4 linked regions of the Saccharomyces cerevisiae S288C genome follow. The gene in region 1 interacts genetically with each later gene. Each region holds a gene or a part of one and is shown in the gene's direction. Other genes may lie near its edges.

The links.
Region 2: of DRE2 (region 1) and AFT2, changing one suppresses a phenotype caused by changing the other (phenotypic suppression), as found in Saccharomyces cerevisiae (one study listed by BioGRID).
Region 3: of DRE2 (region 1) and NBP35, extra expression of one rescues a mutant of the other (dosage rescue), as found in Saccharomyces cerevisiae (one study listed by BioGRID).
Region 4: mutations in DRE2 (region 1) and GRX3 impair growth when combined (synthetic growth defect), as found in Saccharomyces cerevisiae (one study listed by BioGRID).

Annotation. Positions count from the first base shown.
Region 1 is NC_001143.9:573,997-578,506, reverse strand, and holds DRE2 (electron carrier DRE2), read left to right. Parts: upstream 1-2,526; coding exon 2,527-3,573; downstream 3,574-4,510. Other genes in the region: YKR073C (uncharacterized protein), read left to right, coding at 1-320; phosphopantothenoylcysteine decarboxylase complex subunit SIS2, read left to right, coding at 384-2,072; YKR070W (uncharacterized protein), read right to left, coding at 3,875-4,510. UniProt on the Saccharomyces cerevisiae protein: Component of the cytosolic iron-sulfur (Fe-S) protein assembly (CIA) machinery required for the maturation of extramitochondrial Fe-S proteins.
Region 2 is NC_001148.4:167,588-171,490, reverse strand, and holds AFT2 (Aft2p), read left to right. Parts: upstream 1-2,152; coding exon 2,153-3,403; downstream 3,404-3,903. Other genes in the region: CSM4 (Csm4p), read right to left, coding at 1-7; YIG1 (Yig1p), read left to right, coding at 336-1,721. UniProt on the Saccharomyces cerevisiae protein: Transcription factor required for iron homeostasis and resistance to oxidative stress. With AFT1, activates the gene expression in response to low-iron conditions, also called iron regulon.
Region 3 is NC_001139.9:341,083-345,142, reverse strand, and holds NBP35 (Fe-S cluster-binding ATPase), read left to right. Parts: upstream 1-2,100; coding exon 2,101-3,087; downstream 3,088-4,060. Other genes in the region: MF(ALPHA)2 (Mf(Alpha)2p), read left to right, coding at 1-352; LIF1 (Lif1p), read right to left, coding at 559-1,824; nucleocytoplasmic transporter NUP145, read right to left, coding at 3,284-4,060. UniProt on the Saccharomyces cerevisiae protein: Component of the cytosolic iron-sulfur (Fe/S) protein assembly (CIA) machinery. Required for maturation of extramitochondrial Fe-S proteins.
Region 4 is NC_001136.10:643,678-647,610, reverse strand, and holds GRX3 (monothiol glutaredoxin GRX3), read left to right. Parts: upstream 1-2,680; coding exon 2,681-3,433; downstream 3,434-3,933. Other genes in the region: mismatch repair ATPase MSH6, read left to right, coding at 3,774-3,933.

The DNA of each region.
Region 1 (4,510 bases):
TGATCGTCTTTGATGTATCTCTAATGATCATTATTATTTTTTCTTTTGCTTTTAACATGAGTCAAAGCAATATTCTTATGTTATATAACTCACCCCATGTGCTCGTGGGCAGTGACGCACGCAACTTTTTCTCTTGCAAAAAATGGCATCGATGCTTTTCTGGGGAGGTGATATTAGAGGAGAAGAAGTCACAGAGTGCTCTTGGATCACGATCCCTCACTTGTACTTGTCCACTTATCAGCGCCGTCCAGTTACATTTGGAGAGATCTTTTTTTAGCCTGGCCTTCTTTGCTGTCATACTACTTTATATTCCGGGATAAAATATAAAGAAATATTAGTTAGGAAAAAATTAATAGGGAAGAAAGATCTAGAAGCAAACAGCAATGACTGCCGTCGCCTCTACTAGCGGGAAGCAAGATGCTGACCATAACCAGTCTATAGAGTGTCCAAGGTTTTCGCGTGGACAGAAAGAGATTTTGTTGGACCATGAGGATGCGAAGGGGAAGGATTCAATAATCAACTCCCCCGTGTCAGGGAGGCAATCAATAAGCCCTACTTTGTCGAATGCTACTACCACGACTACGAAATCTATTATGAATGCCACCGGCACCTCCGGCGCAGTAGTAAGTAATACTCCGGAGCCTGGTTTGAAGAGAGTCCCCGCCGTCACTTTCAGTGATCTAAAGCAACAGCAAAAGCAGGATAGTCTGACTCAGCTGAAGAACGACTCAGAAAGGACCAAGTCTCCAAATAGTAATCCTGCTCCTGTCTCAAATTCCATTCCTGGCAATCATGCAGTTATACCGAACCACACCAACACTTCAAGAACAACGCAATTATCTGGGTCTCCACTCGTCAACGAAATGAAAGATTATGATCCTAAGAAAAAAGACAGTGCTCTTAAAATAGTTGATACCATGAAGCCTGACAAAATCATGGCCACTTCAACGCCAATAAGTAGAGAAAATAATAAGGTAACCGCCAAAGCCCCCACCAGTATTACACTTCGAAAGGAAGATGCACAAGATCAAGCTAACAATGTTTCAGGCCAAATTAATGTGCGTTCTACCCCGGAAGAAACGCCAGTGAAGCAGTCCGTCATTCCTTCCATCATCCCCAAAAGAGAGAACTCCAAGAATTTGGATCCCAGACTACCTCAAGATGATGGAAAATTGCACGTGTTGTTTGGCGCTACAGGTTCGTTATCGGTATTTAAGATCAAGCCAATGATTAAAAAACTAGAAGAAATATATGGACGTGATAGAATAAGCATTCAAGTTATCCTCACTCAATCAGCAACACAGTTTTTCGAACAAAGATATACCAAGAAAATTATCAAATCTTCAGAAAAACTAAATAAAATGTCGCAGTACGAATCCACTCCGGCAACTCCAGTGACACCAACACCAGGACAATGCAACATGGCTCAAGTAGTCGAGTTACCCCCACATATTCAACTATGGACCGACCAAGATGAATGGGACGCATGGAAACAACGAACTGATCCTGTACTTCATATAGAACTACGTCGCTGGGCGGATATACTGGTAGTAGCTCCATTAACTGCAAACACATTATCAAAAATTGCTTTGGGCCTGTGCGACAATCTTCTGACAAGTGTCATTAGAGCTTGGAATCCGAGTTATCCCATTCTTTTGGCACCTTCTATGGTGAGTAGCACTTTTAATTCTATGATGACAAAGAAGCAACTACAAACGATAAAGGAGGAAATGTCCTGGGTCACTGTTTTCAAGCCGTCTGAGAAAGTTATGGATATAAATGGTGATATTGGTCTCGGGGGTATGATGGACTGGAATGAGATTGTTAACAAAATCGTTATGAAATTGGGTGGGTACCCAAAAAATAACGAGGAAGAGGACGATGATGAGGATGAGGAAGAAGACGACGACGAAGAAGAAGATACAGAAGATAAGAACGAAAACAACAACGATGATGATGACGATGACGACGATGACGACGACGACGACGACGACGACGACGACGACGACGACGATGATGACGAGGACGAGGACGAAGCAGAAACCCCAGGTATAATAGATAAGCATCAATAAATAGTCTATGAATTACAAATACACTAAACACATTCTACTTATTTGTGTTTTGTAATTTCTGGAAAAATACTCATTAGGCAAATTCACGCAGCATATTTACAAAATGTCACAAATTTTTTTCCTTTTTTACTTGCAGTAGGTATGTAATGCCATACTAGCGTACATAGAGCTCTTCATATAAACCGCTATTTATTACTAATTTTAATAATTCAGTAATTCATTAAATACATTCATTACTTTCTGGGTAAATATCTATTCGTTTCTCATTTTTCTTTTTTTGACATATCCCGGTACCGGAATAAGTCCGATACTATTCAAAAGCTTCTGGAAAAAAAAAATAAAAAAAAGAAATGATTAGTAATCATTTAATTTCATGACATATTAAAAAGGTATTCTAAGCAGAAGTCTTTCATCACATTTGATCTAAGCATATACACTGTAAGTGAAGGTATCGATGTCACAATACAAAACTGGTTTACTTTTAATACATCCGGCGGTGACTACAACGCCAGAGCTAGTAGAGAACACTAAGGCTCAAGCTGCATCAAAGAAAGTCAAGTTCGTGGACCAGTTTTTAATCAATAAACTAAATGATGGGTCCATAACTTTGGAAAACGCAAAATATGAAACAGTACACTATTTGACGCCAGAAGCCCAGACTGATATTAAGTTTCCGAAAAAGTTAATTTCTGTCTTAGCTGACTCATTGAAACCAAACGGCTCACTAATTGGTTTAAGTGATATTTATAAAGTAGATGCATTAATCAATGGGTTTGAAATAATTAACGAACCAGATTATTGCTGGATTAAAATGGATTCCTCTAAACTAAACCAAACTGTTTCTATACCACTGAAAAAAAAGAAAACGAACAATACTAAGCTACAGAGTGGTAGTAAGCTACCAACTTTTAAAAAAGCTAGTTCTTCAACCTCTAATTTACCCTCATTCAAAAAAGCAGATCACAGTAGGCAACCTATAGTTAAGGAAACAGACAGCTTCAAACCACCTAGTTTCAAAATGACCACTGAACCAAAAGTCTACCGAGTCGTAGACGACCTGATTGAGGATAGCGATGATGATGATTTCTCTAGTGACTCTTCCAAAGCCCAATATTTTGATCAAGTGGATACCAGCGATGATTCCATTGAAGAAGAAGAATTAATCGACGAGGATGGTTCTGGTAAGTCAATGATTACTATGATTACATGCGGTAAATCCAAAACTAAGAAGAAGAAGGCTTGTAAAGATTGCACCTGTGGTATGAAAGAACAGGAAGAAAATGAAATAAACGATATAAGATCTCAACAAGATAAAGTTGTCAAATTTACAGAAGACGAGTTGACCGAGATTGATTTCACTATCGATGGGAAGAAAGTTGGCGGCTGTGGTTCTTGTTCTCTAGGGGATGCCTTTAGATGTAGTGGTTGTCCCTACTTGGGTCTTCCTGCTTTCAAGCCTGGTCAACCTATCAATTTGGACAGCATTTCAGATGACTTGTAAACCCTGCACATTCGTTTCAGTAAATGACGTCAATTGGTCTACTTTGGTGAAGGTGAATTTTTTTAGATGCATTGATCGATTGACTTTGGTAGGTTACTAATTTTACCAAAAAGAGTTGGTAGTTTTTATTTTTTTAAATAGAAGAAAACAGGTACTCATTATACCGTGATTACCAATTTCCCAACCCATTATTTAACCCGTTATGTATATTGCATATATTTTGTAAAAGCGTTTAAGCTATTAATAAATCTATCATAACAGTACAGCTCAAAGGCAGGAAAAGATATTCCATAGTAGTCTTTCATGCGTACTTTTCTAACGTTTTAGTAACCGCATCAAATACATCATTCACGATCAAGGTAGGCTTACATTCCTTTAAGTCATCACCTTCGTTATACACACCTGTCTTCACCAAACAACTGTTCCAACCGTAATTTTGAGCTCCAATGATGTCACTTGCAGGATTATCACCTACCATAAAAACCGCATGGAATGGAGAAGTTGAAGGTTTCGTGCCTAAGAGTGGCAGTTTTTGCTTCACAGATTGGCCTATTTTCCCGCTTAGTCTTTTTTCCCAATCAATGAGAACATGATGAGCGAAATCATAAGTCAACTTTGTAGGCTTACCCAAAGTATAATCTTGCAAGGGTTCACCATTTAACTCGAGATAAAGCCTTCTAACTAGTAAGCGGAAGGCACCTTGTCCAAATCTATTCAATTTATAAGGATTGGCCCACAGTAAATCCTGGTTCGAAAAGTAAATGGGGATGGAAGGTTTGCCACTCTTTTCGTTTCTCAAGGTATTTAACATCCCATTTTCGCTGTTGATTGCATCTGAGATGATTTGTATATCGGCAGCCCAATCATGAGGATCGTTAAATACCAAGACGGCATCGAATTTCTTAGTGGTTAAATCTGGAATATCCCTTGAGTACTC
Region 2 (3,903 bases), on another chromosome or scaffold:
CCATCATTTTCTAGTTCTTCTTCTGCAATATTGCCTTTTGGGAAGAAGGATCGAAAGTAGCCATTTGCAGACACGTTTTTACTATATTTACTGTATCTTCGATTGCGCGGCTAAAGTTGCCATATTATTATTATATTGCAGCTCAACCCCGCATTTCCGGAGTTTTCTTTTTTTTTATTTGGGGTAATTTGGAGGTCGGCGGCTATTGGTGGGCCGGAAATGGTGACACACTTGTAATATATAAGGAGGAAATCCTACATGTGTATAAGCGAAATCACAAGGATAATAATGTATTGCTAAACACCCTCAAGAAAGAAAATAATCATAACGAAATCATGGGTATACCTATGCAAATATACCAGGATGGGAAGGGGGTGCAATTTTACCACACGAGATATCAGAACGTATTTGACGAACGGGCGAGCAAGTATGGCAACTACACGGTGAATAATGATTACCCACAGCTTCCAGATACGATAAAGGAACATATCGACCAGCTTACCTTTAGCAATGTCGGAGAGGATGGTGGAGATGTTGGAAACTATTCTGAAGAAGACGATGATGGTGACGAAGAAAAGGAACTTGAAGATGTTTTTCGAAGTAACCGTGGGTTGGAATTTGTACGGATTAATAACTATTTTACTACCCACGATTTACAAAGTTTCAAAAGTTTTAGAAATTTCAATAGCAAGTACTGGATTTTTTATTCTAATCAAGCAGAGGACAAAAAATTACTGCTGTATGACTTTAACGGCCAACATTTGATTTTTATTAAGCAGCAATTTTACGGGCAGTTGAATTTACTGCTATCGGACGCAATAATATGTATGGACTGCAATTTTGGTTATAATTCAAACACCATTCAAATTTTAGTTGGATTTCAGAATGGAAAGTTGTTAAAGCTAAACTGCGACTTGAACGGAAACGTAAACAATCACTTGCTTTTGAAGGATCCTTCAACTTCCTCTCATCAAAGCCACCTATCTATATTAAATGTCTGGGCAGGTTTGTTGCCACATTTCGTTGTTTCTTTTAGTTTGAAAGATGGGCTGCTAATAACTTCTTTAGATCACCAACAAAGCAATGGAAGTTTTCAAAGTTTCCATACCAACATTGATTTGCCTGTAGATCTACGCACGACCACAAATGTCAAGTCCGTTTTAAATTTCCCTCAGTTTACTTTATACAAAGGAAATGATATGATTTTCCACTGCAAGAATCTATTAGGATCGGATGCTTCCACGCTAAACAAGGAAATAAACTTTATGCTTAAAATAGACGAAGACGTTCAAAAGATCGACTATCTTCTTAAAACGAATCACATTTTACTCGAAACCAACATGAGATATCTGTCCATTCCAACAAGAGACCCCATAGAGAATTCAAATTCTTCTCCACCCGTCTCAGACAGCGAGGTTTATCCAATATTTTACAAGACACAAGAACTTCATGTCCATGCTTCAGGAACAGGACGTCAGATAGCAAACAATGGGAAGTATATTTTTATAACCGAGCAACATCTCTACGGAACAGCGTTATCGGTATACAAGTACTCTATATCTTTCAAACGGTGGCTGTTCGTGGGCTACTCAGACATTAGGGCCAAATACGGTATAAGGAGTGTCAAAGATCTCTTTGTTGGTAACTGTCCCTCTGTAAATAGCCCAGTGCTGACAATTCTTACTGATGACAATAACATTCAAACAATTCTTCTTAAATAAAGGTTAAGGAAATGTAAATAAAAAAAATAACAGTGACATTAATTTGTATATATCTCAACTTCTTCACTTTAACCTGTCTGAGCTGTTTGGTTTTGAACTGGAAGCACGTTTCTCATTTTATTGAACGATACCAGAGCCATTCATTATTCGATTGACGGTAAGCGGTATTGTGCGAAAAGCAAAGGGAAAAAATAGAAAGAACAAAAAAAAGAAAGAAAAAAGCACCGTAAAAAAAAAAATCGTTTCGTGGGCCGAGATCGGTAAAGTGGCTTTCTTTTAGTCAGAATTGATTTTCTTTTGATTAAGGCAAAAACTGTGCAAATTAAACTGATGGACCTATACATAATAGTGAACACGACTCATTCAAAAAATTTGTTGTAGTGACCAGAAACTCTGGCGCAAATTAATCAAGAGAAAGCGACCCCCAAGAAATGAAAGCAAAGTCGATGAAGAGCATAATATCTGTGCCAATATCAGTGTCTAAAACAGGGAAAATGAAGTTAACAGCATCTCCCGATAATCTAGCATCTATGATGTCTAAAGACCAAAATAAACTTATTCATTTAGACCCAGTTCCGTCTTTTGAGGACAGGCACGAGATTAAACCGTGGCTACAGAAAATATTCTATCCTCAAGGAATAGATATAGTCATCGAAAGATCAGATAGTAGCAAAGTTACTTTTAAGTGTAGGTCAGTACGATCGAAAGTAGGGTTGAACCCTAAATCCAAAGGTTCCTCTTCAAGATCCCATGCATGTCCATTTAGAATTAGAGCAGCCTACTCTGTGCGGTTACAGAAGTGGAACGTGGTTGTTATGAATAACATACATTCACATGAGCTGAGATTTGATTTGATTACTAAAACGGATGACTATAAAAAGTTTAAGGAAAATCTTCGTCAGAAGAACGACGAAAAAGCCATCAAAACATTTGATGAATTAGAATATAAAGCAAGTCTAAACTTACCACTCGTCACACCAATTATTTCTTGTGACTGTGGGTTAACCAAGGAAATTGAAGCTTTCAATAACATTTTTCTCCCACTATCAAACCCCCCTTTGACGTCTAAAAAAAATTTGCTCAAAACAAATAAAAACTCCGTTTCTAAAATAAAATCCAGACAGATGGATAATTCGAAACCTAGGCCAAGGTTGAAAACGAAGTTGGATGCGGATCTACATGATACCGGATTTTTAGACAATTTCAAAACGCGGAATTCCTGTGTAAAGATAGAGAAAGAAGATTCTTTAACGAACTTAAACGAAATTGATTTTACGAACATGTTTTGCAACGACAATTTCATCCAAAATTACAACCAAGGCCTGATGGAACTTTTGACAGAACCTACACCAGGTCCTTCGTCCTCTTCTTGTATACTTCCTTCAACACCAACGAGGCCCTTGTCACAAAGCAAAATGGATATAGCCCTGTCAGAATCAACAACATCTTCACCAAATTTTATGGAAACAGACGCTCCTTATGGAGATGAGATCATTAAAGTTTCCAAAGATACCAAAAGCAACGCACCAACTGCTGATACAGATATTGCTACGAACTTAGGCAAAGAGAGAAACGAAAATTTTGGCATGTTAAACTACAACTACGAAGCGTTGCTTCATTTCAACGATGAGCATTTTAATGAATTAAATTCTATTGACCCAGCCTTAATATCAAAATATTAATTATTTAGTTTTCAACTCATTAAAACGGTATCACGTTTAAATATGTGACAAGATCTGATGGACATGAATAATGGTGATATCAGCACCATCGAGGGATTTTGGACCTTAGACTTTTTAAAGCTACGGAGGACTTAAAGCATGTCGATACAAATAAGATATATCATGGCTTCATGCGCTCAAAAGTTTTATTCTTCAAGTTTGTTGATTATAATATGGTTCACGTGCGCTTCATCTTTTCATAGGTAATGCACCGCAACATTCAATTATCTAAAAAACTTTCAGGCGTGCCGGTCCCCTAATTTTTGCACTGAGATCATGAGATCAGTAAGTAAAAGCTCATATAGGAAATAATCATATAGAAAAAAGCAGAGGAATGATATTCGAACATTTTCTATACATCACCCCTCCTATTTTTAGATGAATCTCTAAGATCTAAATGCCCTCAACTTAAATATGATATTGAATTAAAATGAATTGTAGTATAGAAGATATTTAGGGCA
Region 3 (4,060 bases), on another chromosome or scaffold:
TTCTACCTTTCTCACTTTTATTTTAGCGGCCGTTTCTGTCACTGCTAGTTCCGATGAAGATATCGCTCAGGTGCCAGCCGAGGCCATTATTGGATACTTGGATTTCGGAGGTGATCATGACATAGCTTTTTTACCATTCAGTAACGCTACCGCCAGTGGGCTATTGTTTATCAACACCACTATTGCTGAGGCGGCTGAAAAAGAGCAAAACACCACTTTGGCGAAAAGAGAGGCTGTTGCCGACGCTTGGCACTGGTTAAATTTGAGACCAGGCCAACCAATGTACAAGAGAGAGGCCAACGCTGATGCTTGGCACTGGTTGCAACTCAAGCCAGGCCAACCAATGTACTGAAAAATGACCCTAAACTACTTCTAAACCCTCTCGATTTCTTTCACGTTCATACAACACCTAGTTTTATTTATTTTCTTTTCAATCTGAGTAGTTGAGTTTTCGATCACTCACATAGAACTATTTTTTGCCATTTAAATAAAGTATTCTCTCAAATGATGCGATACTATAATACTCTTTGCCATATATTACATTCATTCATAAATAGGCTATGTTTCTATATCCGTTTCCGATTCTGTCTGCAAGCAAGGTTCCCTATCATTACCGGATTGTTCACTATGGTTGGAGCTCTTCTTTTCCCCTGCACTTGCATCAGTCTCAGATTCAGAACCAGAAATGTCTCCGTAATCTTCATCCGATCTTCCTGCTGATATTTGAATACCATTGTCTTCTAAAGACACTAAATGTTTTTGAACATCACTGCTACTATCAGATTCAAAACTTATTGATTGTGTGTCATCTCCAAAAGAGGTAATATCATCGTACTTTTCACTGAGTTTATCTTTAGCAGTAATAATTGGCCTTTTAGAAAGTCCGAAAAATTGAAAGTCATCAAAATCGTCGTCTTCCATTTTGATCACGGATTGATTAGATATTTTTCTATTAGCTCTCCTCCGACTTGTGTCTTTCAACTTCTTTTGTAAATTTTGAGGCTCTACTACCGTCTTTCTTCGTTTCATTCTTTTTCCTGGAGAGTTTAACTCAGAAATTGGCTTTTGCACTTCCGTATTAATAAGCGCAGAATCTAAAACATCATCGTCAGACAATTTGATATTATTTTGTCGCAGAATCTCATGAAGCTCTCTTATTTTCTTCTTCTTCTCATTCAACAAGGTTACCATCATTGCTCTGGTTCTTTCATCACGTGTTTCTAAAAGCTTATCCAATAGCTCCCTTTCCCGAGCCAGCTGTTCAACTCGATTTCTATTGCTAGAATCGCTCTCCTTTATATTCCGGTAAGAATCGTTAACACAACAGATATCTTTATAGAGTTTATCTGCCATTTCAAATAAATCAATCTCTCCCTTTTTGACTGGATGCAAGGTAAGTTCAGCGATTTTTCTTATGATCGCCGATGACTCCAACTCCATAACTACTTTCCATACCTCATCATCTTGCATTCTGCACGTCCATTTTGTGAATACGACTTTTTCGTCTAACGATGCAATGTACACTTTGTGACCAGTTAACATTTTGAGTAGTTCATACCACACATATTTCTTAGACTCTTCATCGATATTTTCTCCCGTAAAGATTCGCAAATCATTGATTCCAAAACTGCTTTTGGAAAAAATTCCTGTACCTTCACTTACCAACATTTTCTCTATTCTAAGCCCTGAAAGACTGTTCTCATCTAATGTTTCCAACATAGCGCCATCTTCAATCTGAATCTTACAGAGGCCACGCTCATCTTCTTCATTTTGTTCTTCATTAACCACAGGGATACAGCTAATGAACTCCGTCAGCTGGGACATAGCACCCTACATAAATAAGTCATCCAATGCACAATTCTCTCAGTTCTATGCATTGACACGTCGAAAACTGCCGTTCATCTTATTATTCTTTAATATGGCTTTTCAAAATACGCTTCCGGGTACTTTTTCGGATTCATTAATGGTGTAATTAGTAATGCGTAGAAATATTTTGTATATAATAATAAATAACATGTTTGTCCAACAACTCGTAGGCTAGGCTAAACGTGAAGTCTTTCTGTTTTTGAGAACAACAGTATACATAAGTGATATCCAAGAATGACTGAGATACTACCACATGTAAACGACGAAGTGCTACCAGCAGAGTATGAACTTAATCAGCCGGAACCAGAACACTGTCCTGGTCCAGAATCAGACATGGCAGGTAAGTCCGATGCTTGTGGTGGCTGCGCCAATAAAGAAATATGTGAAAGTCTTCCGAAAGGCCCTGATCCAGATATTCCATTGATCACAGATAACTTGTCAGGAATAGAACATAAAATATTGGTTTTATCAGGCAAAGGTGGCGTAGGCAAGTCGACATTTGCCGCAATGCTAAGTTGGGCACTTTCAGCTGACGAAGATTTACAAGTAGGTGCCATGGATTTAGATATATGTGGACCTTCTTTGCCACATATGTTAGGCTGCATTAAAGAAACCGTCCATGAATCGAACTCCGGTTGGACACCTGTCTATGTGACTGATAATTTAGCCACCATGTCTATTCAATATATGCTTCCAGAAGACGATTCCGCCATTATATGGAGGGGTTCAAAAAAGAATTTATTGATAAAAAAATTTTTAAAGGATGTTGATTGGGATAAACTCGATTACTTGGTAATCGACACACCGCCCGGAACATCTGATGAGCACATTTCAATAAACAAGTATATGAGAGAATCTGGCATAGATGGTGCCCTTGTGGTCACCACACCTCAGGAAGTAGCTTTATTAGATGTACGGAAAGAGATAGATTTCTGTAAGAAGGCTGGTATCAATATTCTTGGACTAGTGGAAAATATGAGCGGATTTGTATGTCCAAATTGCAAAGGAGAGTCCCAAATATTCAAGGCTACCACAGGTGGAGGTGAAGCACTTTGTAAGGAATTGGGCATCAAATTTTTGGGGTCTGTTCCGTTAGATCCGAGGATTGGCAAGAGTTGTGACATGGGTGAAAGTTTCCTGGATAACTATCCTGACAGCCCAGCTTCGAGTGCTGTACTTAACGTTGTGGAGGCTCTGCGAGATGCTGTGGGGGATGTATAGTATATTTTATCAAAAAGAATAAAAGGAAGTGCATTAGAGGTCAAATCGTTTTATAATATAAATATCATTACCTTTAAATCTTAGACCTACTGAAGAACACTTTTACCATATATAATGCTACTAATTACTCCAAAAGCGTTAGCTTCAGTCCATGTTTTACTATTTTTCTTTTTTTTAGAAATAAAAATAAAAAAACTTATATCTTATATGTACACTTCATTAAATCCTGGGCAAACTCACCCCTCAAGTATGCCTTTTCTGGCTGCCCTAGGGGGAGCTCAAGCAATTTGGCCTTCGAATCGCCTATTGAAGGATTGTTTTTCTCCAATATTTTTGATACAATCTCTTGGGACATAACATTACAACATGCGGCCACTTCACGACAGTGCTTATACTGATCATAAAATATCTTCATACCACTAATTAATGAATCGATAGTCTCCTGCGTTTCAACATTATCCAACACAAGCTTTAGATATACTTCAAATACGTTTATACTTACACTCCATTTGTCCCTCTCAGAGTCTGGAAATTCGTTAAGAATTTCCCTCAAAGTTTTCAGTTCATTATTCTGTACAGGATTGTTTGATAACAACAGCCTTGGTCCTAATGACGTAACAATAGCCATTTCTGCCAAATCATAAGACGAACCCAGGAGTAGATTTTGTACTTCAGAAAGGTAATTGCCTTCATATCTATCTTTCAAAGCTTGAGCATTGAATATCAATTGCGAAGGGATCTTTAATCTATTTAAAATGTGATCATTGGTAGAGGCTCTTAACAATGTTATTTCACGCATAACAAGCCTTTTTATGGTATCTTCTGCTGCCTTGTCATCATTTAAAAAGCAAGAAACAAAAAGAGAGTGGCCATGTAATTGTGCAAATTCAAGTTGAGCGGCAAATGCGAATGTAGCCTCATCGCTAGTTTCCTTCGAAAAAACGCGTGTTCCATTAAATCTCAATGTTTGAAT
Region 4 (3,933 bases), on another chromosome or scaffold:
TACTACTATCAACAGTAAGAAAAGATCATTAGAAGATAATGAAACTGAAATTAAGGTATCACGAGACACATGGAATACTAAGAATATGCGTAGTTTAGAACCTCCGAGATCGAAGAAACGAATTCACCTGATTGCAGCTGTAAAAGCAGTAAAATCAATCAAACCAATACGGACAACCTTAAGATACGATGAGGCAATCACCTATAATAAAGATATTAAAGAAAAGGAAAAATATATCGAAGCATACCACAAAGAAGTCAACCAACTATTGAAAATGAATACTTGGGACACTGACAAATATTATGACAGAAAAGAAATAGACCCTAAAAGAGTAATAAATTCAATGTTTATCTTCAACAGGAAACGTGACGGTACTCATAAAGCTAGATTTGTTGCAAGAGGTGATATTCAGCATCCTGACACTTACGACTCAGGCATGCAATCCAATACCGTACATCACTATGCATTAATGACATCCCTGTCACTTGCATTAGACAATAACTACTATATTACACAATTAGACATATCTTCGGCATATTTGTATGCAGACATCAAAGAAGAATTATACATAAGACCTCCACCACATTTAGGAATGAATGATAAGTTGATACGTTTGAAGAAATCACTTTATGGATTGAAACAAAGTGGAGCGAACTGGTACGAAACTATCAAATCATACCTGATAAAACAGTGTGGTATGGAAGAAGTTCGTGGATGGTCATGCGTATTTAAGAATAGTCAAGTAACAATTTGCTTATTCGTTGATGATATGATATTGTTCAGCAAAGACTTAAATGCAAATAAGAAAATCATAACAACACTCAAGAAACAATACGATACAAAGATAATAAATCTGGGTGAAGGTGATAACGAAATTCAGTACGACATACTTGGATTAGAGATCAAATATCAAAGAAGCAAGTACATGAAATTAGGTATGGAAAAATCCTTGACAGAAAAATTACCCAAACTAAACGTACCTTTGAACCCAAAAGGAAAGAAACTTAGAGCTCCAGGTCAACCAGGTCATTATATAGACCAGGATGAACTAGAAATAGATGAAGATGAATACAAAGAGAAAGTGCATGAAATGCAAAAGTTGATTGGTCTAGCTTCATATGTTGGATATAAATTTAGATTTGACTTACTATACTACATCAACACACTTGCTCAACATATACTATTCCCCTCTAGGCAAGTTTTAGACATGACATATGAGTTAATACAATTCATGTGGGACACTAGAGATAAACAATTAATATGGCACAAAAACAAACCTACCAAGCCAGATAATAAACTAGTCGCAATAAGCGATGCTTCATATGGTAACCAACCATATTACAAGTCACAAATTGGTAACATTTTCCTACTCAACGGAAAAGTGATTGGAGGAAAGTCGACAAAGGCTTCGTTAACATGCACTTCAACTACAGAAGCAGAAATACACGCAGTCAGTGAAGCTATTCCGCTATTGAATAACCTCAGTCACCTTGTGCAAGAACTTAACAAGAAACCAATTATTAAAGGCTCACTTACTGATAGTAGATCAACGATCAGTATAATTAAGTCTACAAATGAAGAGAAATTTAGAAACAGATTTTTTGGCACAAAGGCAATGAGACTTAGAGATGAAGTATCAGGTAATAATTTATACGTATACTACATCGAGACCAAGAAGAACATTGCTGATGTGATGACAAAACCTCTTCCGATAAAAACATTTAAACTATTAACAAACAAATGGATTCATTAGATCTATTACATTATGGGTGGTATGTTGGAATAAAAATCAACTATCATCTACTAACTAGTATTTACGTTACTAGTATATTATCATATACGGTGTTAGAAGATGACGCAAATGATGAGAAATAGTCATCTAAATTAGTGGAAGCTGAAACGCAAGGATTGATAATGTAATAGGATCAATGAATATTAACATATAAAACGATGATAATAATATTTATAGAATTGTGTAGAATTGCAGATTCCCTTTTATGGATTCCTAAATCCTCGAGGAGAACTTCTAGTATATTCTGTATACCTAATATTATAGCCTTTATCAACAATGGAATCCCAACAATTATCTAATTACCCACATATATCTCAATAACAAAACGAACAACATGAGATAAAACACGGCCTTCCCTAGCTGAACTACCCAAACGTATAAATGCTTGAACAATTAGTTTAGATCCGAGATTCCGCGCTTCCACCACTTAGTATGATTCATATTTTATATAATATATAAGATAAGTGACATTCCGTGAATTAATCTGATAAACTGTTTTGACAACTGGTTACTTCCCTAAGACTGTTTATATTAGGATTGTCAAGACACTGCGGTATTACTCGAGCCCGTAATACAACAATACACAGTTGTTACGGTCCTATAGTGTAGTGGTTATCACTTTCGGTTTTGATCCGGACAACCCCGGTTCGAATCCGGGTAGGACCTTTTTTAACTGTGGCTTCTCTGTTGAACCATCAGTTACTTTTTTTTTTTTTCAGAGAATGTGTGCCGGGTCATGAGATGCCAAACTAAGAGGTCATTAAAATATATTTCAAAGACTAAATGTGTTCTTTTCAGGTTCCATCTGCATTTTCTTTTAACTACACCTCGTACTGTTATAAACGCCACCAAGCAAGATATTACACAGCAGCAAAACTTTTTCAGGAAATGCCTGTTATTGAAATTAACGATCAAGAGCAATTTACTTACCTAACTACCACTGCGGCCGGCGACAAGTTAATCGTGCTTTATTTCCATACCAGTTGGGCAGAACCATGCAAAGCATTAAAGCAGGTTTTTGAGGCCATTAGTAATGAGCCTTCCAATTCCAACGTCTCTTTCTTATCCATTGATGCGGACGAAAACTCGGAAATTTCAGAACTTTTTGAAATCTCAGCTGTTCCATATTTTATCATAATTCACAAAGGGACAATCTTAAAAGAATTATCCGGCGCGGATCCAAAGGAGTATGTGTCTTTATTAGAAGACTGCAAGAACTCAGTCAATTCCGGATCATCACAAACTCATACTATGGAAAATGCAAACGTAAATGAGGGGAGTCATAATGATGAAGACGATGACGACGAAGAAGAGGAAGAAGAAACTGAGGAGCAAATAAACGCTAGATTGACTAAATTGGTCAATGCCGCGCCGGTAATGTTATTTATGAAGGGGAGCCCCTCTGAACCTAAATGCGGGTTTTCGAGACAACTTGTGGGTATCTTGAGAGAACATCAAGTAAGATTTGGCTTCTTTGATATATTAAGAGACGAATCTGTTAGACAAAACTTGAAAAAGTTTTCTGAATGGCCAACTTTCCCTCAACTTTATATAAATGGGGAGTTTCAAGGCGGTTTAGACATTATCAAGGAATCCTTGGAGGAAGACCCTGATTTTTTGCAGCATGCTCTCCAATCTTAAATAAATAGATGTATTTAGTGTAAATTGAAACAGAAAAGTCTCCATTTCCAACTAATGGTATGCAAGCATTTTTATATGTGTGACATAATGAATGGCTTCTGGTTAAGTTTGGCTTTTTGAACAACCATTGCCCGGAGAAAATAAACGCGTGAGCAGTAGCTGATACGCGTCTCACTTTTTCATAAATTCATGTATAGGTCATCGCCATATAGAGAAAATATTTGAAATTACATCTGTTGAAACTAATAAGAGCTTTTCCTTGGAGCCTTCTTTGCTAACAGATAAGATTTTTTAATTGGAGCAACTAGTTAATTTTGACAAAGCCAATTTGAACTCCAAAATGGCCCCAGCTACCCCTAAAACTTCTAAGACTGCACACTTCGAAAATGGCTCCACATCTTCTCAAAAGAAAATGAAGCAATCGAGTTTGTTATCTTTTTTCTCAAAACAGGTACCTTCTGGCACACCGTCAAAGAAGGTCCAGAAGCCTACTCCAGCGA